Saccharomyces cerevisiae S288C: one gene and its partners. Changing the gene in region 4 together with the main gene of any one other region gives a genetic interaction. Each region holds a gene or a part of one and is shown on either strand. Other genes may lie near its edges. The genes, in order: CTS2, RKR1, ETR1 and HUL4.

Evidence for each region.
Region 1: mutations in HUL4 (region 4) and CTS2 together harm fitness less than expected from each alone (positive genetic interaction), as found in Saccharomyces cerevisiae (2 studies listed by BioGRID).
Region 2: of HUL4 (region 4) and RKR1, changing one enhances a phenotype caused by changing the other (phenotypic enhancement), as found in Saccharomyces cerevisiae (one study listed by BioGRID).
Region 3: mutations in HUL4 (region 4) and ETR1 together harm fitness more than expected from each alone (negative genetic interaction), as found in Saccharomyces cerevisiae (2 studies listed by BioGRID).

What each region holds. Positions count from the first base shown.
Region 1 is NC_001136.10:1,216,626-1,222,009, reverse strand, and holds CTS2 (putative chitinase), read right to left. Parts: upstream 2,598-5,384; coding exon 1,062-2,597; downstream 1-1,061. Other genes in the region: VPS74 (Vps74p), read left to right, coding at 1-898; DXO1 (Dxo1p), read left to right, coding at 2,900-4,228; XRS2 (Xrs2p), read left to right, coding at 4,430-5,384.
Region 2 is NC_001145.3:762,131-770,404, reverse strand, and holds RKR1 (ubiquitin-protein ligase RKR1), read left to right. Parts: upstream 1-2,365; coding exon 2,366-7,054; downstream 7,055-8,274. Other genes in the region: YMR247W-A (uncharacterized protein), read right to left, coding at 979-1,122. UniProt on the Saccharomyces cerevisiae protein: E3 ubiquitin-protein ligase component of the ribosome quality control complex (RQC), a ribosome-associated complex that mediates ubiquitination and extraction of incompletely synthesized nascent chains for proteasomal degradation.
Region 3 is NC_001134.8:291,531-296,270, reverse strand, and holds ETR1 (enoyl-[acyl-carrier-protein] reductase), read left to right. Parts: upstream 1-2,251; coding exon 2,252-3,394; downstream 3,395-4,740. Other genes in the region: putative protein kinase YPK3, read left to right, coding at 269-1,846; YBR027C (uncharacterized protein), read left to right, coding at 1,915-2,247; OLA1 (Obg-like ATPase), read left to right, coding at 4,406-4,740. UniProt on the Saccharomyces cerevisiae protein: Catalyzes the NADPH-dependent reduction of trans-2-enoyl thioesters in mitochondrial fatty acid synthesis (fatty acid synthesis type II).
Region 4 is NC_001142.9:499,515-505,894, reverse strand, and holds HUL4 (putative E3 ubiquitin-protein ligase HUL4), read left to right. Parts: upstream 1-2,503; coding exon 2,504-5,182; downstream 5,183-6,380. Other genes in the region: MLO127 (Mlo127p), read right to left, coding at 1-1,959; DNA-dependent ATPase RAD26, read right to left, coding at 5,283-6,380.

The DNA of each region.
Region 1 (5,384 bases), on a different chromosome or scaffold from region 4:
AAAGATTGCATATGACCCAGAAGAATCGAAATTGAGAGACAACATCAATATCCCTACGTTAACGTTGATGGAAGAAGTCTTATTGATGGGCTTAAGAGATAGAGAAGGATATTTGTCGTTTTGGAATGATAGTATTTCATATGCTTTGCGTGGTTGTATAATTATAGAATTAGCGTTAAGAGGTAAAATCAGAATCTTAGATGATTCCGCCAGGAAAAGGTTCGATCTTTCCGAAAGGTTGATTGAAGTTATTGACAGTTCCAAAACTGGGGAAGTTTTACTGGATGAAACTTTGCAATTGATGAAAAACGACGAACCTTTGTCAATTTCTAACTGGATTGATCTTTTAAGTGGTGAAACATGGAACCTTTTAAAGATCAACTATCAATTGAAACAAGTAAGGGAAAGATTGGCAAAAGGTTTGGTCGATAAAGGTGTATTGAGAACAGAAATGAAAAATTTCTTTTTGTTTGACATGGCGACACACCCCATTGCAGACGCCAGCTGCAAAGAAGCCATTAAGCGCAGAGTACTTTCTGTACTCGTATCGAGGAACATGGAATTAAGTTACAATGAATATTTTCCGGAGACAACATCTTTCAAAATCATTAGAACTTTAGCTTTAATATGTGGATCATATGGGGCAAACGTATTGGAGAATGTCCTGACTACGTTGGAATATGAGAAGAGAGATAAGGCAATTAGTAGAGCTGAAGAAATAATGGCACAATTTTCGCAATACCCATTTGATTTAGAAAAGGAAACTGAGTTAGGTGTCTCCGTTAATTTAAACAAGGAAGTTAAAGAAGAGATAGAAAACAATCCTGGTCATGATTTACAATTGGAAGTTATTGCTGGTGTATTTGAAGTCTTTTCAAGAATGGATATGCTATTATGAAAATAACAACAAAAATCCTCTCTTTGAAACATAAGGAAAAGTCAAGCTTTTTTTTATAAGCCTCTAACATTAATAAACGAAATTTGTATATATGTATATACATATACGGAGTGGATAATAAATAGACCAAACTTTTTGTTATTATATACGCCCACATTCGTATTCATTGCTTTCTTGAATCCAAATGCTTTAAATATGGAGATAAAAATCCGCCATCGCCATATTTATTCAAGTAATATTTTTTAACTCTCACATCTTGAAATATTGATGGTTTTGATGACACATTAAAGTGCAAGCCTTCATTAAATGCGTTTATCAACGACCTTGACTCATTTGCATAAGCTTCACCACATGACTCCCACCAAAAGCCTCCGCCTAAATTGTTATGTGTCACATATTCAGCCTTAGTTTTGACTGATTTAGTGTTATCATAACTGATAAATATTGAATTTTTTTCATCAAAGCAATATGCTGAAACATATTTTGGATCGTATTGTTCTATTGTACCAATCTTTGGTAAATTTTTGTAAGGCCAGATGCCCTCCTTGCCATCAGCTTTATCTATTTCTTTAGTGGGCTTGCCCACTCCTTTGAAAATTTTGTTAATTAATACAGTATTTTGATTGAATGGTTCGAATTTGTTATCTTTGATATGGAAACTTCTTCCGTAGGCGGCCATTCCCAGTACTAATTTTCTAGAATTGACGCCAAATCTATCGATCATATAATGCATGGCAAAGTTTCCATTCAATTCCGTCTCACTGAATAGATTGCTGTGATATCCTGTTGTTTCTGACCACGAGCCATAATAATCGTACGTCATCATATTCCAGTAGTCAACATATTGATCAATTTCTGTGATTGGCAAGTAAAATAATTTATCCTTGAATGCAGGTGCCGCAATAGATAATTGAAAATGATCTTCAGTACGTTTCCCAAATATTTGGGATTCGAGGCTGTTTAGTTTTAATCGCAGCATTCTGACCAGTTTCAGATATCCGCGAGGTTCTGATTCATTGTTACCAGGGAACTCCCAGTCTAGATCAATGCCATCAAATCCTAATCTGAACATTGTTTCCACCGACGAATCAACAAAATTTTGTAAGAGTTTATCATCTTTAATTATGATTTTGAAATTTTCACTATCAGACCAGCCCCCAATTGACATGATAACTTTAAATTTCTTATCAGAACAGGTATTCTTCAAATAAAATAGTTCACCAATGCAACCTAAGGGTAGGATGTTTTGGACACTATTGTTCGAGCTTTCTTTAATTAGTTCTGAATTTTTAATTGCCAGCGATTTATACAAATTCATTTCTAGATCAGACCAACTATCCGTGTTTTCTATACCACCAGTTCTAGAGTTTATTTTGAAAAATGCATAGTAAATGTGAGACACTTGCTTCAAGTTTATGTCGTGAGGGAAATGAAACCTCGGTTTGTATGGGGACCAATTGGAATAATAGACCCCTGATATAAAGGCTTCGTCTCTTATATGGGTTCCATGATTTTGGACATTACTGGGAACTCGATGTCCGCCATTGTTAAAGTTGTCTCTAATATCATCCGACCTTTGGTTCTTAAAAATTTTATTATATAAACACATTTCAATAATAATCGTTATAAAGATAAGTAGTATTAGTAGGTGAGACACTAAGCTGCTTTTTGATCTGTGCTGAGCTGAGTGTCCTACCATATGATCACTCTTGTATCGTCTACTTATAGAGGTTGTTAGTACCAACCTGCAAATACAATTGTTGGACCATACTACCACAAAAGGTTCTTTTCGTTGGTGTATCCTCACAAATAATGATTATTCCACCAAAATCACCAAATTATTGTGTCAAACTAACTGGGATTACCCCACTATTGATTTTTCCAGTTTTTCCGCAATTTTCGCAGCATGTTTTACTTTTATAATGGCATTGTTGCATTACAGCGCCAGTTGTAGGTATCGATGATTTTATGTCAAAGTTTTCTTTCTAGCCAAACTCAGTTATGTCAACTGAACAAGATGCTGTTCTTGGATTGGCCAAAGATTTAGAAGGTATAAATTTGCTTACTGTGCCCAATCTCGAGAGAGGACACCAAAGTAAATTATGCAAAGAGAAAACTACTTCTGATTCATCTTCGTCAAGGAAGCCTTCACAACAGAGAGACAATTATAGAAAGAGACGTCCGAAACTTATATGTATCCCATATACGTCTTTTCTGCATACTGGTATGCACAATTTTTTGACGAAACCACCAAGAGATATATTTCATGAAAGTAAAGAAGTAGCTCTGTTTACCAATGGCCGGGCTTATACAATCCTACGCAAAGACCTTATACCAAATTTGAAAGAAAGTATTGCTGAATTGTATGAAAGCTCGCTTCTTGAGGCAAAAAAGCGGAAAGTCCCGTATTTAGGCCATGACTTATTTGCTAATATTGATGAGTTCGTTCCCATGACAATATCCGAATTAGATAGTGTATCACCGTGTTTTTCATACATTGAGAACTGGATACTAGATAATCCTGGTAAGGATTTTAAGATCGGCAAGAAATTTACTGTTGTAACCACAAGACATCATATCGTAGATTTGACTATGCATCTCTTTAACAGGCGAAATAGACAAACGTCACTAATTGTAACTTATATGGGGGCGGGCCTTCTTTCATTTTGCAGAAATGTAAAAAAAGATTCTCAAATGTCCAAAGAGGGCATTTATTCAAATGATCCAAATATGAAGAAAATTTGCTATTCAGGATTTGAATTTGAAAATTGGGTAACCGAAAATTCCAAAGTCGCTGATTTAACTGGCTCTAAATGTCCTATTTTTTCTCTTGTAGAGAGTAAACTTTCAGAAGAAATTGGTCTTTTAATTCGCTGCGAAATGGATGCATTCAATCCTGTTTCGGAGACAAACACAGAACTAAAGTGTTTTGCCCCATTATCAATGCACAATTCCAATCATAGGAGAAAACTTCTGAAAACGTGGGTACAGACGGGTTTATTACCGAACTCAGATATCATGATAGGTTTGAGGGACAGTCATAGCGGTCAATTACTAGACATTCAATGGTACTCAAGGGACTTATTATGTAAGAAATTCAATCACCCAGGTCTACCTACAAATAAAAAGGAACTTAACTATAATGCCCAAATTGCGGTAGAATGGTGTCATTATTGTATTGAAGCAATTTGTAAGCTGGTGGAGGCAAATATCTCTGACTATAGCAGTACAAAACCAGAATCATTTGAAATCGGTATAGATACTAACAACGCCATCGTCATCACTAAACTTAAGACTACTCCAAGAAACGTAGAATTATTTGGAATGTAGAGACGTGTATAATATATAATACTTTTCCGAGAAATATTTCATTTTCATTTTCGTAAAGTTGTTAACTACGCTAAATATTAGTACTTTTCTTAAATTTATATGGGGAGCCCTTTTTTTCTATGAAAAGCAATGCGTAAACCAAATAAGCAGAATTTTGTAATAGATGAGCAACAATACTGAGAAGGTGATAACTATAAATTTATGTGGGTAGTACGATACCAGAATACATTGGAAGATGGCTCTATTAGCTTTATATCATGTTGTCTTCAGGCCTTCAAAACTTATAGTATAGGTAGATCAAGTAAAAACCCACTGATAATTAAAAATGATAAAAGTATTTCCAGACAGCATATCACATTCAAATGGGAAATCAATAATAGTTCGGATCTGAAACACAGTAGCCTGTGTTTAGTTAACAAGGGTAAATTGACATCATTAAATAAAAAATTCATGAAAGTTGGCGAAACATTTACTATTAATGCCTCGGACGTTTTAAAGTCCACAATAATTGAACTGGGTACAACTCCTATTCGTATAGAGTTCGAATGGATAAATGAAGTCTGGAACATTCCTCCTCATTTGACACAATTCAGGACGATGCTTTCTGAATATGGTATCTCCACTGAGATTTCTATTAATGATATTCCCGCTAATCTGATGATTAGCGATTACCCAAAGAGCGAGGACAACAGCATACGGGAATTGTATGCCCTTGTTAGTACTATACCCATGAAAAAATCACGGTTTCTGATGGAATTGTGTAATACTCTTCTTCCCACATCTAAAACTAATTTAAAATTTGATGAAATGTGGAACGATATGATTAGTAATCCGGAGTACAATGTTTTTGATTTTGATCCAAATATTTTGCTTTCGAAGTTTATGAGGCTGAATAATATCAGAGTGTTAACTACTATCAAAAGTGAACCACGTCTATCATCTCTCCTGCGGACGTTCAATATAAATTTATTTGCATTTGACAACATTGATAGTTTATATAAATATGTTGACAGCTTGGAAGCATCAACAGAATACCTGATTTTGACAACTACAGATAAGAAAGAAAATGGGAAAATTCTATGTACTATCAAAACGATGTTAACATCAATAATAGATGGCACCTTAAGCGCAGTGATTAATATGAAGGGTGCATCTT
Region 2 (8,274 bases), on a different chromosome or scaffold from region 4:
GAACAGCCCATATACTATGAACTTCTTTACTTTCACACGTTGTACATTTGCTATCGCAAATGAGATGATTTGATTATTTGAAAAATGTCAAGAACCAACTAGAATTTACCAGCATCAGCGCCTAGGAACCCGGGAAGGTACACTCTTCTAAACGAGACTGAGCATCACTGTTACTCGAGATACTTCCAAGAAAACAAAGTATAAACGGCAACCTGCGTGATAAAAACTATCTGAACACGTAGATGCGGCTACATATATAGAAAGTCAGCAGTTGATTCCGGAAGAATCCAGAGTACTATATGGTAGACTGGATTTATCTGTCCATATTTGCGGGCTTGATATTCGGATAGCATTGAGGCAGAGACAATATACAGTTTTTGGGTTAATTCTTGGCCTTGTGCTATAGCTAGCACGTCGTCGAATCCTAAGACCTTGTTTGAAAAGAATCGTCCAAAATGGGAGAACTGGCGCCAATGAATAAACCAGACGAAGGTATCACGAACATGTGCCAAAGCTTGTACCGGTACCAAATTATGCGAATGTCAGTCAGTAACAATGTCAGACCCTACTATCAACCCAGATGTAGCTCAAGTGGAACCTACTGTTCTCTCAAGCTTTTTAATAGAAACGCTCATAGAATATCATAGAGAGTTCAATAATAGCGGTATCATAGTTTATCTGATAACGTGCAAACTGTCCTGATCATGAAGCGGAGTTGAATGACAGGGTGATGGAATTGATGGCTAGTTGCTTTCGTATGCCTCGGTATAGGCATGCTAATGACACCCTAGGGTGGCTATTAGTATGTTGCAATGCCGAGAGGAGGTTGAATAACAATACCATTACATCAGCCGATAATATAGTGCATTGTATCAGCAAAATTAAGCAGTCAATTTATTTTTTTATCATTTAATGGCGATGGTTGGATAATTGTCTAAGAACAGTATTGAGTATTGCAATAAACCACTAAGGTTAGCCTCACGGCCAAACTATGTTGGTATCACTGTTACTAACAAGGTGGTTGTGTACGTGAAGGCAGATTGGCCTCAGAAGGCTCTTACCATTAAATAACAAGGCCATTATTCCACTCAATAGCTTGGCACTTGCACATTTGTGTGCCATTTACACTGAATGATTCATCTTTTTGATATCATGCAATATAATAATACAGGTGATAGAATGCGAAAAGCACGGGAAATAGGTGACTTTTGAGATAGTTGTTGAATACCATTTCCATAACAATACAATTTGGACAACATTATCTTATACCGAATATACCTTAAGTTTTACTCGAAAATATAGGAATCCATAAAAGGATCGATGATTCTTCATAATAATATTATGGTTTCTCGTTCCACTTTATATGTTGTCACTCATTATCCTATTGCATTATCAAGTCGTGCGTTCCACCCCCATTAAATTTGATGGCAGCTTTTAAATCTTTACCTTTATGCCATATTTCTACGTCGTATATGTAATAAGATGGATGCTAGACTATAGGGGGTAGGTGGTTCCTCTTCCGACATGTAGAGAATGTGGATTTTGATGTAATTGTTGGGATTCCATTGTGATTAAGGCTATAATATTAGGTATGTAGATATACTAGAAGTTCTCCTCGAGGATTTAGGAATCCATAAAAGGGAATCTGCAATTCTACACAATTCTATAAATATTATTATCATCGTTTTATATGTTAATATTCATTGATCCTATTACATTATCAATCCTTGCGTTTCAGCTTCCACTAATTTAGATGACTATTTCTCATCATTTGCGTCATCTTCTAACACCGTATATGATAATATACTAGTAACGTAAATACTAGTTAGTAGATGATAGTTGATTTTTATTCCAACACGACAATCATGAGTAATTACTTGATAGTGGATAGTAAGTTTTGATAGACACTTCCATTTTAAACTGATTTCACTTTTTACAGTGGCTAGAAATTACAATAAGAAATGGGCGTGTGGCGTAGTCGGTAGCGCGCTCCCTTAGCATGGGAGAGGTCTCCGGTTCGATTCCGGACTCGTCCAAATTTTTTGCTACTTTGCAATTAGTGTAACTTCATATTTAAAATTATAGTTAATCAAGAACAGAATATCGTCACAATGCTCTTTAAATGTTACGTACTTCTTACCTCCAGCTTGACTATATACTTGTCAATTCGAGTTAACCCAGATTATGCCCCAACATGGAAAACTGAAAAATATTGATGAAGCGAGGAAAAAAAACGTCATAGGAAAAATTCAAATGTTGCAACTTCAGATGGTTTTCTTCAATATATACAATACTGAAGAAGTCCTTCTTAATAGTTCAAATCTGCTAAGCCATCAAAAAAAGTTCAAGCAATAGTTGGTTCTTAATGTCGTTTGGTGGAATCAATACATTTCAACAGTATAACACAGATTTAGGGCTCGGCCATAATGGTGTTAGAATATCCTTAAACTACTTTGATGGTTTGCCGGATCCAAGTCTTTTAAACTCCTTGTACTCGAACGAGCTGAAACTCATTTTCAAATCTCTTCTGAAAAGAGATGAAACTACAAAAGAAAAAGCTTTAATGGATCTTTCCAATTTGATCAGCGACTTTAACCAGAATGAGTACTTTTTCAATGACATTTTTCTTCTTTGTTGGTCGCAGATATATGCTAAACTGATAATTAGTGATTACAAGGTCATCAGACTGCAATCACATCAAATTACTATAATGCTTGTCAAAAGCCTTCGGAAGAAAATATCGAAGTTTTTAAAGGATTTTATACCTTTGATACTTCTCGGTACATGCGAACTCGATTATAGTGTTTCCAAACCTTCTCTTAATGAATTAACAGAGTGTTTCAACAAAGACCCAGCAAAAATTAACGCCTTATGGGCTGTTTTTCAAGAACAACTATTGAATTTAGTAAAGGAGATTGTTGTAAACGAGAATGAAGATACCATTTCTGATGAACGTTACTCCAGTAAAGAAGAATCTGAGTTTAGATACCACAGAGTTATAGCAAGTGCCGTATTGCTGCTGATTAAGCTTTTTGTTCATAACAAAGACGTCTCAGAACGTAATTCTTCCAGTCTTAAGGTGATTCTTTCTGATGAGTCAATCTGGAAACTACTTAACTTAAAAAATGGGCAAAATACAAATGCCTACGAAACAGTTCTTCGATTGATTGATGTTCTTTATACAAGAGGTTACATGCCTTCCCACAAAAATATAATGAAGTTAGCGGTGAAAAAACTATTGAAATCGTTGACTCATATTACGTCAAAGAATATTCTAAAAGTATGCCCTGTTCTCCCATCAATACTGAACCTTTTAGCTACCTTGGATGACTATGAAGATGGGACAATATGGTCATACGATAAATCTTCTAAAGAAAAAGTACTCAAATTTTTATCGGTTTCCCGTACTTCACCATCGCCAGGATTTTTCAATGCTGTGTTTGCATTGTACAGCTCGACTAAAAGACACAGTTTTCTTGATTATTATCTTGAATGGCTTCCATTTTGGCAAAAATCGGTGCAAAGACTGAATGAAAAGGGCTTTTCTGCGAGAAACAGCGCTGAGGTTCTTAATGAGTTTTGGACAAATTTTTTGAAGTTCGCTGAGGATTCATCAGAAGAAAGAGTGAAAAAAATGGTGGAAAGTGAGATTTTTAACTCTCTGTCTTGCGGGAAATCTTTATCTGAGTACACAAAACTGAACCAGACTCTTAGTGGCGTCTTTCCACCCGATAAATGGGAGAGAGAGATTGAAGATTACTTCACTTCAGACGAAGACATAAGAAAAATAAAGGTGAGCTTTGAGAAGAATCTTTTTGCTTTATTGGTTACTTCTCCTAATAACGAATCCGCAATTAGTCGTTTATTCGATTTTTTTGTGCAATTAATCGAAACAGATCCCTCAAATGTTTTCAACAAATACGACGGTGTATATGATGCTCTCAATTACTTTTTAGATTCAGATATGATTTTCTTGAATGGGAAGATAGGGAAATTTATAAACGAAATTCCAACGTTGGTCCAAGAATCAACATATCAAAACTTTGCTGGTATCATGGCACAGTACTCAAACTCCAAATTTTTCAAAATGAATACTGACGCGATTACTTCGTTGGAAGACTTTTTTATCGTTGCGCTTTCTTTTAACTTACCAAAGACAATAATTTTAGCCACAATGAATGAGTTGGACAATGATATTTATCAACAATTAATGAAATCAGATTCCCTAGAATTAGAATTGTACATTGAAGACTTTATGAAAAATTATAAGTTTGACGACAGTGGGGAAATATTTAAAGGTAATAATAAATTTTTAAATCAAAGGACTATCACCACACTTTACCGAAGCGCAGTTGCCAATGGCCAAGTTGAACAATTTTGTGCTGTTTTGTCTAAATTAGATGAAACTTTTTTTTCAACGTTATTGCTGAATACCGATTTTCTTTCTTGTGCATTGTATGAAGTTTCAGAAGACACTAATGAGAAACTATTCAAGTTGTCATTACAGTTGGCTAAAGGGAATTCTGAAATCGCTAATAAGTTGGCCCAAGTGATTTTGCAACATGCTCAGGTTTATTTCAGCCCCGGGGCAAAAGAAAAATATGTCACACACGCCGTGGAGCTAATTAATGGCTGCAACGATACTTCTCAGATTTTTTTTCCCGCTAACGCAATCGAAGTTTTTGCCAGATATATGCCAGCAATTGATTATAGGTCATCCTTAGTGAGCAGCTTAAGTACTAACACGCATTTGCTCCTTACAGATGATAAGCCTATCAATTTAAAAAATATGCAAAAGCTCATCAGGTATGCTCTATTCTTAGATGCCCTACTTGATGCTCTTCCAGAGCGCGTTAATAACCATATTGTTGCATTTATAACTGTAGTTTCTGAGCTCGTCACTGATTATAATTGCCTTTCAGAGGAACCAAATGATCTTTACTATGATTTTGGGCATACCTTTTTCAAACATGGCAAAGTAAATTTGAACTTTTCTGATATTGTTGGAAACGTTATTCAGCCTGCTAATGGTGGTGATGCTATGCTTACTTTTGATATTGCTGAAAGTAATTCTGTCTACTTTTTTTATTATTCAAGAGTATTATATAAGGTTCTATTGAACAGCATTGATACTGTTTCATCCACCACATTAAATGGGCTATTAGCATCGGTTGAAAGTTTTGTCACGAAAACTGTGAGGGATCAAAAATCTACTGATAAAGATTATCTCCTATGTGCTATATTACTATTGATGTTTAACAGGTCCAACTCAAAAGATGAGATAACGAAATTAAGGACATTGCTGGCATCTCAATTGATTGGGATTAGAGAAGTAGAACTTGTCGATCAAGAATTCAAGTCGTTAGCTCTTTTAAATAATCTGCTGGATATCCCACAGGCAGATAAACAGTTTGTTCCTATAGCACCGCAGAGACTGAACATGATATTCCGTTCAATACTAAAATGGTTGGATAGTGATCTTGCCTACGAGCCTAGCTTTAGCACCGTTAGATTGTTACTACTAGATTTTTTCACCAAACTGATGAGGTTTGAAGGAGTCAGAGATATGGGCATAACAGCTTTTGAACTTTCGGAAAGGTTGCTGGCAGACTCTCTATCGATGTGTCAAATTGATGACACTTTATATTTGTTAGAACTTCGCTCTTCCTGTTTGAACTTATATGAAACATTGTCGCAAGGCGTTTCCAAAAATGGCGAGGAAATCTCAGAATATGGTGATGAAATTCAAGAAAATTTGATTGAACTGATGTTTCTCAACTTTAATCAAGAAAGAAATAACCAAGTATCCACACTCTTCTACCAGAAATTGTACAAGGTCATTTCCTCAATGGAACTCAAAAAGTTAGAATCTCAATACAAAAGAATATTCGAGGTTGTATTGAATGATAAGGATATCGGTAGTAATATTAATCAATCAAGATTATTAACTACTTTGTTGGGTTCTTTGGTGGTAAAAACACAGCAGGATATTATAATTGAGTATGAACTGAGGATTCAAAAACAAACTGGCTCAGACGTAGATGGTAGTGCATCTGATAATGATGTAAACTCAAAATTTAAACTACCTCAAAAATTATTACAAAAAGTTACTGATGAGGTGCCAAAAGAATACCTTGAATACGAGAATAAAAATTCATTTATTAAATATCTATGGTATTGGCACTTGATACTGATGTACTTCAAAGATACGTCTTATAATATGAGACAAATATTTATTGAACAATTAAAGGAAGCTGGTTTAATCAATAGAATGTTTGATTTCATAACAGATCAAATAGATTTAAGAGATACTGAGTTTTGGAAACAGGTCGACACCAAGGAAATTTCGGAATACAACATTGTCGGCAATAATTTCTCTCCTTATAAAGAAGACATATTTGAAGAATGTAAAAAACTTTTGGGCCATACACTTTATCAGTTGTTTAACAACGTCGGTTGTCTAACGAGTATTTGGTGGTTAAATATAAAAGATAGGACATTACAAAATGATATTGAAAAGTTTGTCTCAGAGTTCATCTCCCCAATTTTGATCAAAAATGAATTTGACGATATCAATTCTAAGATGGACCGCCTGACTTCTAATGATGATGCTTTGACTATTAAATTAAATAATATTACTAATGAAGTGAAGGCAAGCTATTTGATTGACGACCAAAAGTTGGAGATTTCCTTCAAACTACCAAAAAACTACCCTTTAACAAATATCCAAGTTAATGGCGTCTCTAGAGTTGGTATAAGTGAACAAAAATGGAAACAATGGATAATGTCTACACAACATGTAATTACAGGCATGAATGGATCCGTTTTGGATTCGTTGGAGTTGTTTACTAAAAATGTGCACTTACAATTTTCTGGTTTCGAGGAATGTGCCATATGTTACTCTATACTACATGCCGTGGATAGGAAACTACCTTCGAAGACATGTCCGACTTGTAAAAATAAGTTCCACGGAGCATGTCTTTACAAGTGGTTTCGATCATCGGGTAACAATACATGTCCATTATGCCGTAGTGAAATTCCATTTAGAAGGTAGACTATCGCATATAAATTTCATATAAATGTACTACATTTTTTAAACAAAGTTCCTTTTATTATTGTGCTCTCTTACAAATTATACAATCCAGCCCTATACCTTGCCAATCCAGCCCATCACCCGGATATTCTGGAAATTTTTTCTCTTCAGGATTTTTTCAGGATAAAAATCGAACTTGAAAGAAGAATGGTTTTTAGTTCAGGCCTTGTTTTCAGTTTTTAGCTACTAAAAGAGGGATAACCATTGATGAAATTCTATTGAATGTCCCCAATTTTCGGAAAAGGACTGCACCGAAATATTTCAATCAAAATCATTTATCGTTTTGTTTAGCTATTTTTTTCTCAAATTATCACTCTTTTCTTCCTTTTTCATTCTCTCAATTGTTCTTTTTATTTGAGGAAATTTGATTGTATTGCATATACAACTATGCGATGCACTTTGTTCATTTTAACTTTGGATATATGTGCCTTGCTATGAACGCGTTCATTTTTAAGTGACCGGACCCTAAAATATTCAGGTAGCATGACGGAAGCTATGAATTAATCCTGGTGGAGGGGTGTGTTCAGTTTGAGGGAGGATGATAAAATGGAACGGAGATTGCAAGGAGACGTAGAAAATAAAGTAGGAGCAAATGGATTTTCTGCTTGGCGGTATAGCACGTTTGAGTTTTTCAGTCGTGTCTATGTTCAGGTTTATGATATGCTGTGGTTGATTCTGTTGATTCACACGTTTCGCTTCCATATAGTGTGTTAACGGAAACTCCATGTTAAGGTTTATTATAAGAAAATTTTTTGAATTTGTTCTTTTTATATTGGTTTACTCTCCTCGTGATTTCTTTTCTTTTTTTATCGTCATCCTCTCTGAATGTATTTATTACGCATGGCTTTTATTCATTGCTTTCTAACTGTGATGGGAGTTTTTTTCTTGTTGCATAAATGAACGTGGGCGAGGTTTTTATTTTCAAACTTGGTGTACTATAGTGCAATGCGTTGTTAATTGTAATACGATGTTTCTTCGATAAAAGGAGCGGAGGGAGAAGGTGAAATTACGAAGGAAAGAAAGAGATGAGAAATCAAGAATGAAGCAAGACATTGATTGATATGGTTGTTTTCGGTGCATGTTTGATTACTAAAAGTTGGGGCATTCGATGGTTTACAGAAGTCATAAATTCAAATATCCCGTTTAATCGCTCATCTATTAAAATCAATAGTAGAATGTAG
Region 3 (4,740 bases), on a different chromosome or scaffold from region 4:
GTAAATTATAAAATATGATATCAATTCTTTAACAAAATTTCTCGCTCGTTTTTATACTTATGACTATATGTAGGAAAATAAACGTGTTGCTCTGTCATGTTACTTCTAAAATATTGAGAGGAGAAAAAAAAAAAAAAAAAAAAAATTATAAACAAATGAAAAAAGGACGTACTGACTAATAGTAAGTAGATCTTTTACCTGGAAGGTGCCCTATGATAAGATTTTTCATCAACCAATCTAGCTGAGCATACTGTTGGCAGTAATTAGGATGATTTTCTCACTAGATGAAGAACTTCATCGTGTGTCACTAGATGATAAAAAGAATGACATTAAAGTAGATTATTCCTCGGCAATATACAATGATATCAATCATGAACAAGGCAGCTCCATCACATATGAGGAGAGTATAAATCACCTCTCGGTTCATTCAAATGCGATTCCGCTAAATGGCATGAGTCCTGCACATAGGATGAGAAGAAGGTCCTCAGCTTATTCCAAATTCCCTATTCTCACTCCACCAAATACGAGAAGATTTTCTATTACAGGTTCGGACGCAATGCGAACTAATACGAATAGACTATCCATAACACCTCAGGACATTATTTCCTCTAATATTGGAGAAAATGAATTATCAAGGAACCTGCACGATTTTAAGCCCGTGAGAGTCCTAGGCCAAGGTGCCTACGGTAAAGTTCTTCTTGTTAAGGACGTCAATACATCCAAGCTGTATGCTATGAAGCAATTACGGAAAGCAGAAATTTTAATTTCTCAAACAGCCACAGATTCCAAGAGAGAAGACGAAGATAAAAATGATGGTAATAACAACGATAATGACGATGGATTATCAAAGAGGCTTGAGAGAACATTTGCCGAACGGTCTATTCTATCTGAAATAGAACATCCAAACATTGTCAAGTTATTTTATTCTTTTCACGATAACTCAAAGTTATATTTACTGCTACAATATATCCCTGGCGGTGAACTATTTTACCACTTGAAGGAACACGGGACCCTAGATGAGACGACAGTTTCGTTTTACGCGGCAGAAATCAGCTGTGCCTTGAGATTTTTGCATACGAAAGGTGTTGTCTATAGAGATTTAAAACCTGAAAACTGTTTATTGAATCAACGTGGACATTTAGTATTGACAGATTTTGGTCTGAGTAAAAAAAGTGCTAATGATTCCGCGGTTGATGAGGAGGATCCAGAGAACGTCAATGCCCTATACTCGATTATCGGTACGCCTGAATACTGTGCGCCTGAAATATTATTAGGTAAAGCTTACAGTCAGAATTGTGATTGGTATTCTTTGGGATGTCTGTTGTATGACATGTTAGTAGGTAAGCCTCCATATACTGGTAGCAATCATAAGGTGATCATTAATAAGATTCAACAAAACAAGCAAGGCCCCAAAATTCCATTTTATCTGAGCGAGGGAATGAAAGATATATTAAACGCGCTGTTGAAGAAGGAAACTGCCAAAAGGTGGAATGTTGACAAATACTGGGCCAAAACCGGGGCTAATAATAAGCCTACTAAGTCTAAGAAGAAGAAATCAGGGGCTGCAAGAACTAGTCTTTTCACTGAACATTTTATCTTTAGAAAAATAGACTGGAAGTTATTAGAATCTGGACAATTGCAAAAAACCACTCTAGGCCCAATTGTTCCAGTTATTACGGATTTGGAACTAGCGGAAAATTTTGACACAGAATTTACTTCTATGTCATATGAGGAAACCTATACGGATAGCAAGCCGATTAATATCAATTCGGTGAGCAAGTCCCCGGATATGTTCAAGGGATTTAGTTATAAAGCAAGTGGTAGCTATTTGGAGAAGTACTTTTGAATTAAAAGTTAGATAGATTAAGAGAGAAGGCTCGGATCTGCACTGACTTACTTTTTTTTGTTTTTTTGATGTTTAAAGGATCTGTGTCACTGTATATACTTTGTTTTGCTTTAGGGTTACGAAACACATTTTTAATATATAATGTATGTAATAATATTAAAAACAACTGTATGGATAATACTTCTGGACCAATCGGTGATACCATCTTCCTTATTTATGGTATTATTATCATTATTGGACCCCGCCGGTGCTTTTTTTTTTACCTTAAAAGAGTGGTTCTCCTCCAAGGGACGCACGAGTGGTGTACCCAGGGGTTGTTTCCATGGCTAAAGAAATTGGAGATTACAAACGTACATTGTCATTTAAGAAGGTTCATAATCTGCCAATTACATTTGATATAACAAGATGCTTCCCACATTCAAACGTTACATGTCGTCCTCAGCTCATCAGATTCCCAAGCACTTCAAATCGCTCATCTATTCAACTCATGAAGTTGAGGATTGTACCAAGGTTTTGTCAGTGAAAAATTATACGCCTAAACAAGACTTATCTCAATCAATTGTGTTAAAAACTTTGGCCTTTCCCATAAACCCTTCGGATATCAATCAGTTGCAAGGAGTATACCCGTCTCGTCCAGAAAAGACATACGATTACTCCACAGATGAGCCAGCCGCTATCGCCGGTAATGAGGGTGTCTTTGAAGTTGTTTCTTTACCTTCGGGAAGTTCCAAGGGAGATTTGAAATTGGGTGACCGAGTTATCCCATTGCAGGCAAATCAAGGGACTTGGTCCAATTATAGAGTTTTCTCTAGTAGTTCTGATTTAATCAAGGTAAATGATTTGGATCTGTTTTCTGCGGCAACTGTATCTGTTAATGGTTGTACCGGTTTCCAATTAGTATCAGACTATATCGACTGGAACAGTAACGGTAATGAATGGATTATCCAAAATGCCGGTACATCTAGTGTATCAAAAATAGTTACGCAAGTAGCAAAAGCTAAAGGGATCAAAACATTAAGTGTTATACGTGACCGTGATAATTTTGATGAGGTAGCAAAAGTTTTGGAGGATAAGTATGGTGCTACGAAGGTTATTTCCGAATCGCAAAACAACGACAAGACTTTTGCCAAAGAAGTATTGTCCAAGATTTTGGGTGAAAATGCAAGGGTGAGGCTTGCCTTGAATTCTGTTGGAGGTAAATCCAGTGCATCAATAGCACGTAAGTTGGAAAATAATGCTTTGATGCTCACTTATGGAGGAATGTCAAAACAACCTGTAACTTTACCAACATCTCTACACATTTTCAAAGGCTTGACATCCAAAGGGTACTGGGTGACTGAAAAGAACAAAAAAAACCCCCAAAGCAAGATTGACACCATCAGTGATTTTATCAAAATGTATAATTATGGTCACATTATTTCACCAAGAGATGAAATTGAAACTCTTACCTGGAATACTAACACTACTACTGACGAACAGTTACTAGAACTAGTCAAAAAAGGTATAACTGGGAAGGGGAAGAAAAAAATGGTTGTTTTAGAATGGTAAGGGCCTTAGCATTGCTCAGAGTTAGACAACCACCAAAGATAGTATTCCTCTTTATGACATCGAGTATAGTTGCTATATAATATATACCAAGACATTAAAAAATATATGCCAGTGCTATCTTTGTAGGAGCTAATAAAAGGGGACGTCGACCCTTCAATGTATATATCGATCCTTTCACATTAGTCAGGACGAGATAATGAGCATGATGTATAAACAAACGGTAGTTAATACCAACGATAAGTTATACAACTACTGTACAATAAAAAAACATCACAATAGCAATACAGGAGTCCTATTCGCTACTTCAACTTGACAAGATCTACTAGATATAGAAATATCTAGCTTAATCAACAATTTTCCTCACTGATTGCTTCCTCCGAATGCCATTATTGGCTTTCTTGGTTCTTAAGCATGATATTACGTATAAATAGCCATTATATCAATTAGAACAAAAGATTACGTAAATGCAATTTTTCCTGAGAATGGCGTTCGAAGAAGGGCGCGTAACTCGTAGAAACCTAAGAATTCTCGTAGAGCGAAGTCTTCGGTAGGAAACGTAGTAGATTTGCAGAAGATACGCCTGTTAAACTGAAGAAAACAAATCTGAGTAGTTTCCCTTCTTTGGAGTTGAGCTTTACAACAAGTTCATATTGTTGGTGCCAATTTGCCTTGAGACAACTAAGGCAGAATGCAGTTGTTGCGTGTTACTTAATTCTCCGTATTGAATGACCACGCACAATTCCTAATTTTTTTTTTTTCTCGAAAATTCTTTTTTTTTTCACTGAAAAAATTTTTTCAAGGGCCATCCCAGCGATTTTATGACCCAAAAGGAAGGATGCAGTGAAAGTCAACTTACGTCTTCTCTCTCATACCTTTCGTTGCGAGAAATCGTATTTAGTAGTGTATTCAGTTGATAATTAGTACTAATTTTTTATTGCATTTTGCCTTTTTTAGCTTTTTGTGTTACTTCTAGTATCCGTAAAAACAATCAAATAAATAGCACTGTAAAACATGCCTCCAAAGAAGCAAGTCGAAGAAAAAAAGGTCTTATTGGGTCGTCCAGGTAATAACTTGAAAGCCGGTATTGTCGGTTTGGCCAATGTTGGTAAGTCTACCTTTTTCCAAGCCATCACTAGATGTCCATTGGGTAACCCAGCTAACTATCCATTCGCTACCATTGATCCAGAAGAAGCCCGTGTTATTGTCCCATCTCCAAGATTTGATAAGTTGTGTGAAATCTACAAGAAGACAGCTTCGGAAGTTCCAGCTCATTTGACCGTTTACGATATTGCTGGTTTGACTAAGGGTGCCTCTGCTGGTGAAGGTTTGGGTAATGCTTTCTTGTC
Region 4 (6,380 bases):
TATAGTATCGGCTGTATATATAAAAAAATAATCTGAGTTAGGGACTTCACAGAACTGTAACTTCTTCTTGCAAATTTTAACCTCTTCTACGATCTCAAAAGTTGCCAATTTCATAACGCAAAGGTTTCCTTCGGTGTCAGACATGAAAATGTAGACCGTGCTTTCGTATTCATATAGGAAAATGGACGCTAAGTCAGAAAGTCTATGGAAAACTACTTTCTGGCTTTTCAAACGGTTGCAATGATCAAATACCGTTATTTCATCATTCAGAACAAGTACAGTCAAAAAAGAGCCCTTGCTAGATATAGCAGATAAAAAGCAATTATCTATAGTCAAATCAACTCCCGTGTTTTGAATCCGGTAATAAACCTTTGAAAAACTCCACCTCAGATAACCTTGTTTTGTGACGTATGCGTAATTACACTCATTATCTCTTTGAATTGGGACCAAAGTAACGATAGTGTTATCTTTCAATAGAGTTCCATCTTTAGTAGCAATGAAACTGCCATTTATTTCAAAGTCTATTCGCTCACTATCTCTGTAAACATTATTATTCACATCTGCCCAATAGATACCTTTTCTTGTAGAGTAAACTTGTCGAGGAACACTGTCTTTACTTTTGAAAAGTAGCTTCATGCAAGTGGACGCGAAAATGTCCCCACACGATCGAAATTTCAAGCACAAGTATCCCTGCCCACAGTGTAATGATCCACAAGATAAATGTGACTTGGTGTAGTTCCCTATCAAATCGGAATATAAGGTTGATTTGCAAAGAAAAGAACCAAGATGAACAAAATTACTATGCCCTTCATTTCTGACTGAATATACTGTAAGATGGCCCTTTGGGGATACCAGTATCCAACACTTCTCATTGAAAAACGCTGCAAGGTAGTGATCATGTGAGGAACCACCATTGATGGGAAGCCTCTCAAACAAGGCCTTTTCCCAGATATACGTATCGTCTTCAAAACTGCTAAGGATTGCATTCATTCTGCATGTTATTAGAATTGCAGTACTCGTCATAAATGTAAATGTTAAATGATTTAATGTGGTATCCGCTAAAATAGGCTGCAAAAGTTCGATTCTTTCCATGTTATCAGACCCAAAGGCACCAGGCCCTTGGTATATTTTGTCTACCGTTTTACCATCAATGGTCTGTTTCGATGACAATGCATGTTTAATAAAATAAGTTTTCCATGGCGTAAAAACAAAATGACCAATATTGGTGACCGATTTGAGAAGTACTTGTGAGACCGTTGCTTCCTCCACAAATGTTAAATTGGTAGTTCTTTGCCACTTCGTTCCTTTGGCTGGTTTAGACTCGAATACACACACGCATGCTTCCAACTTATATGCAACCTCATTGTGTGCACGTGTGAGAATCGACAACGTAAAGACATCCTTATCTAAGAAATCATTGAAATTGATACACGCATCTATGGATACTATCGGTGAGGATGTCACATAACTCAGCTTAACGTCTGTTTCTTCCAAACAAAAAATGTCCTCAGTAGAAATCTCGTAAATTTCAGTGCATGACAAATTAAAAACCAGAGCTGTTCGTAGTGGATCTTGGAACATGAACTTTGGCTCTGATCTTACCTGATCAATTCCTGTTTCCAGAGATTTCACTATTTTGTAATCAAGGTTGACGAAGTCCAACCGTCCCGTGGCTTTCAACAGAATATAAAATCTTCGGTTAGGTGCAGTATGATCTTTGAAATAAAAGGCTGCCATTGTATATCCGACAGTCCTAAGTCTTAACTTCTTGCGCGCTTCATCTTGTTCTACCCCTTCAAACACATCTATATATTCTAGTCCTATGACCACCAATTCTCGGCTCTGTCCTTCGAGTCCATCTTCTTCCCTAATAAAACATTTAACTACATCCGGGGGACCATCAACCTCACTTACTATAATGTTGTCAGTCATCGCTATACGAATCCTCCCTGCTGGCATGAGAAATTGGATACGCCAAGCCCTGGGCAGCCTCCTCTTTGCATCGTTTCTCTTGCTTTCATCTTTCCACTATCCAATTACCCTGACTCTCGTTCCTGTCTATCATGAGTCTCTTGTCAAGCCAACAAGTGCTTCCTTTGGAGGTATACGATTGTCTCAACTTACTATGATTATGGAGAGGAGAGCAACGCCTACGTGTCAAGACCCATCGTTAACCGAGGTCTAGCTTTAACCTTGTATCTCCTAGCACTTTTAAATAAGGCAAAAAGGGAGTAGGGTCATATCTTTCTGGGACCCTTTTTTTGTGATTGCCCCAAATAAAGGAAAAAAATGGAGGTTACAGGATTTTTTGAAGAGTCAGGTATAACCGCCCATGTGGAACAGGTAGATAGATAAATATATTCGAAGGATTGCTAGATAGGGGCAAGTTTTTGCATGCATTTCTCGACTTTAAGCAGAAAAGTACATATTTTTAAGGGCATTGGTGAAATTTACCAGGTATATCTCTCGAATACTGCGGCTGATAGGTAAAGTAAAATAGGAAATGGTTTCTTTATTTGATAAGCTTAATGCAAAAAAAGACGGTAGAGATGGATCTGTGTCGAAGGAGTTGCTATCACATTCTGTAGCCCATACTAAGAACAGGTTACCCAAATCAGGAAGGCGCACGTCGGAACGGTCCTTAGCCGCTAGTGTAAAGGACGGAAGTTGCTCAAATAGCAAAAGCAATAAGCGGAACTCTTCGGCATCCGTGTCAGGGGAAGAAGATAAATCCTGTCTAATTTCACTTAATTGCCTATGTTGTGGTGTCCCACTACGGTTTCCAGCCTCCATAACGAAATTTCGATGCAGCGCATGCCAAGTAACAGTTATTGTAAAGGAGCCGGAAATTAACAGTAATTTGGAATCTAGTACGCATATTTCGTGCACATTAGAGGGTTTGCAGATGGTAGTAAGGCGGTGCCATGATGATTTGCAGCGGCTTAAGAAGACTGGGATTCTGGATAAAGAAAGAAAGGGGTTGATTTTCCAACCGGTAATAACGTATTTACTGGACAGATTTCATGATGTTAGCATTTTAAACAGGTCGTTCTTGGTACATGATGGTGGAAAGAATATAAAGATGCTGAATTATGAAGTTTTACAAAGATTTTACAGTATATTATCAAATCTTCCTACAAGGAAACCGTATTATAGTATGCTGTGTTGCTGTAACGATCTACTGAAGAGAATAACAATCAATAAAGGGGAAAATTTGCAAATATTACAGTATCGTTGGTTGCTGATTATATTAAATATACCTACAATACGAACCTGCCTTATTAGAGATCGGAAGAGCAAAAATGTGTTTGAGACCCAACAAATAAGGGCGGTGTCTTATGAGTTGGCCAAACGATGTATTGGCTACTTGTCTAACCTATCAACAAAAACATCTCAACAATTGATTCAATCATTACGGCGAACGCCTACGGATAATTTTTCATACCAGGTAGAGATTTTAAATTTATACATCAATTTCCAATTTTCCAGATTACTGTCGAACGAATTATCAAATAGAACCGCAAAAAATAACGTGAAGCCTGAAGATGAGATGCGATCTCGTCTTCGTCGGCATCACACTACTGGCCATGAATTCCTGAGTACTAGACCAATAAGTGCACAATCAAATGATAAACAGGGAAGTGGTTTCACGCATCCCGTCAATAATAAGATGAAATTTAAATTTTTTCAATATGAGGAAGACTGGCATATTCACTCTGCAGCAAAATTGACGTTCATCTATTATGTAGCCAATACTAGAAGAAATGGCCGTGGAGCGTTGTCAATTCAAAGCTTTTACAATATAACGCTAGACTTCATAGATTATAAACAAGATTTCGATCATTGGAGAGGAGTAGCTCAAAAGACAAAAATGAATCAACTGATTGAAGAGTGGGGAAATTCGACGACAAAAAAATGTTTTTCATTCTGTAAGTATCCATTTATATTGTCACTCGGCATCAAAATCTCTATTATGGAGTATGAAATTCGCAGAATCATGGAACATGAAGCTGAACAGGCTTTTTTAATTTCACTGGATAAAGGCAAATCCGTAGACGTTTATTTCAAAATCAAAGTACGGCGTGACGTTATTTCTCATGATTCATTGAGATGTATCAAGGAACATCAAGGCGATTTATTAAAATCGCTGAGAATAGAGTTTGTTAATGAACCTGGAATTGATGCGGGAGGGTTGAGAAAAGAATGGTTTTTCTTATTAACAAAATCGCTGTTTAATCCGATGAATGGCTTATTTATTTACATAAAAGAAAGCTCACGTTCATGGTTTGCCATTGACCCTCCAAATTTTGACAAATCAAAAGGAAAAAACTCACAACTGGAATTATATTACTTGTTTGGAGTTGTCATGGGGTTGGCGATTTTCAACAGTACCATATTAGATTTACAATTTCCAAAGGCGCTTTATAAAAAACTATGCTCAGAGCCTCTGAGTTTTGAAGATTACTCGGAATTGTTTCCGGAGACAAGTAGGAACTTAATAAAAATGCTCAATTACACAGAGGATAATTTCGAAGACGTCTTTTCTTTAACATTTGAGACTACGTATCGAAATAACAACTGGATTTTAAATGACAGTAAATCGAGCAAAGAGTATGTAACGGTAGAATTATGTGAAAATGGCAGAAATGTGCCAATAACCCAAAGTAACAAGCATGAGTTTGTCATGAAATGGGTAGAATTTTATCTGGAAAAGTCCATTGAGCCACAATACAATAAATTTGTTTCAGGTTTTAAAAGGGTCTTCGCAGAATGCAATTCTATAAAATTATTTAATTCTGAAGAGCTGGAGAGATTAGTGTGTGGTGATGAGGAACAAACTAAATTTGATTTCAAATCGTTAAGATCCGTGACAAAGTATGTAGGTGGCTTCTCCGATGATTCCAGAGCGGTTTGCTGGTTTTGGGAAATTATTGAAAGTTGGGACTATCCATTGCAGAAGAAATTATTACAATTCGTAACGGCATCTGATCGTATACCTGCAACGGGTATCTCTACTATCCCATTCAAAATTAGCTTGCTAGGGTCGCATGATAGTGATGATTTGCCATTGGCTCATACATGTTTTAATGAAATATGTTTATGGAATTATTCCTCGAAAAAAAAACTAGAACTGAAATTACTTTGGGCAATTAATGAATCTGAAGGTTACGGGTTCCGCTAAGAGTCTTCAGAATATACATATACACATAACACATACATATTTTTTATAGATATTTCTATGGGTAAAGTTACGTCAAGGGTACTCTGTCCATTCTAAGTTTTCATGAAGCATTGTTATTCCTAAATTCTTCATCAAGCACCCACCCTTTACGCTCTTTATCAAACTGTGCTATGGTTTTTAATAATGCTCTAACCTTAATAACGTCTTCTTTATCAGAAAGACTGACGCCAATGCTGTTAAGTATGCTAACACTAGATGAGAAAAAGTTATTCTGTTTCTGTAAATATGCCCGAATATTTTCTAGCGTTTTGGTATTGGAATTGATTTCCTTGGATCTTGCGAAGGTTATACCATCGTCGTAATTTTCTTGGCGAGCTTCCTTGGATGCCTCTTTTTGTGATTTTGTAATATTGCCTAAAATGGCAGCTGATCCAGTTAATTTATTTTTCAACGGATCTCTCTTTCTAATTTTACCTGCTTTACCAAACCTACCTGTCCAAGTAGGTGTCCCAATTTCATATTGCTTAGTGATCTTTTTTCTCGATTTCCTTAGCGCATTAACCGCCTCAATCGCTACTCTGGAAGCCTCTTTTGTAATTATATTCGAAGAAGAACTGCCCGCGTGCGAATTGACAACCGAATCATGACTCATAACGGTTTCTAAATTGCTCTCTCCTCCTAGCAACCCTTCGATTAATCTATCATCCTCTGTTTTACTATTCTCTTTTTTTTCCTTACCGTTATAAAAGCTTTCTAGTTTAGATACGCCAGATAGGTTGACCAGTTGTTCAAAATCGTCACTTTCCTCTGATTTGGAATTTTTTAAATTTTCGGTATGTTTTTGAACTTCTTCGTTCAATTCTTCTGTAGAATAACCGTTTTCACCCCCCAGTGAAAACAGATCATGGAGTTCGTGAATTTTGAAAAATCGTTTCTGCTTAGGATCAGTCAAAATCCTGTTGGTTAAGAATTGTTTGAATATTTGTCTATGATAAATCTTCTCCTCTATTGAACCTCCTACCATCAACCTATATATTGATACCTCTCTTTTCTGCCCAATCCTCCATGCCCTTTCTCGAGCTTGCATGTCAGTAGATGGGTTCCAGTCTGGATCAAAAATGATAATTCTATTAGCACCGGTTAAATTAACACCTAGCCCCCCAACTCTTGTGGTTAGTAAGAATACATCGAAAGATTC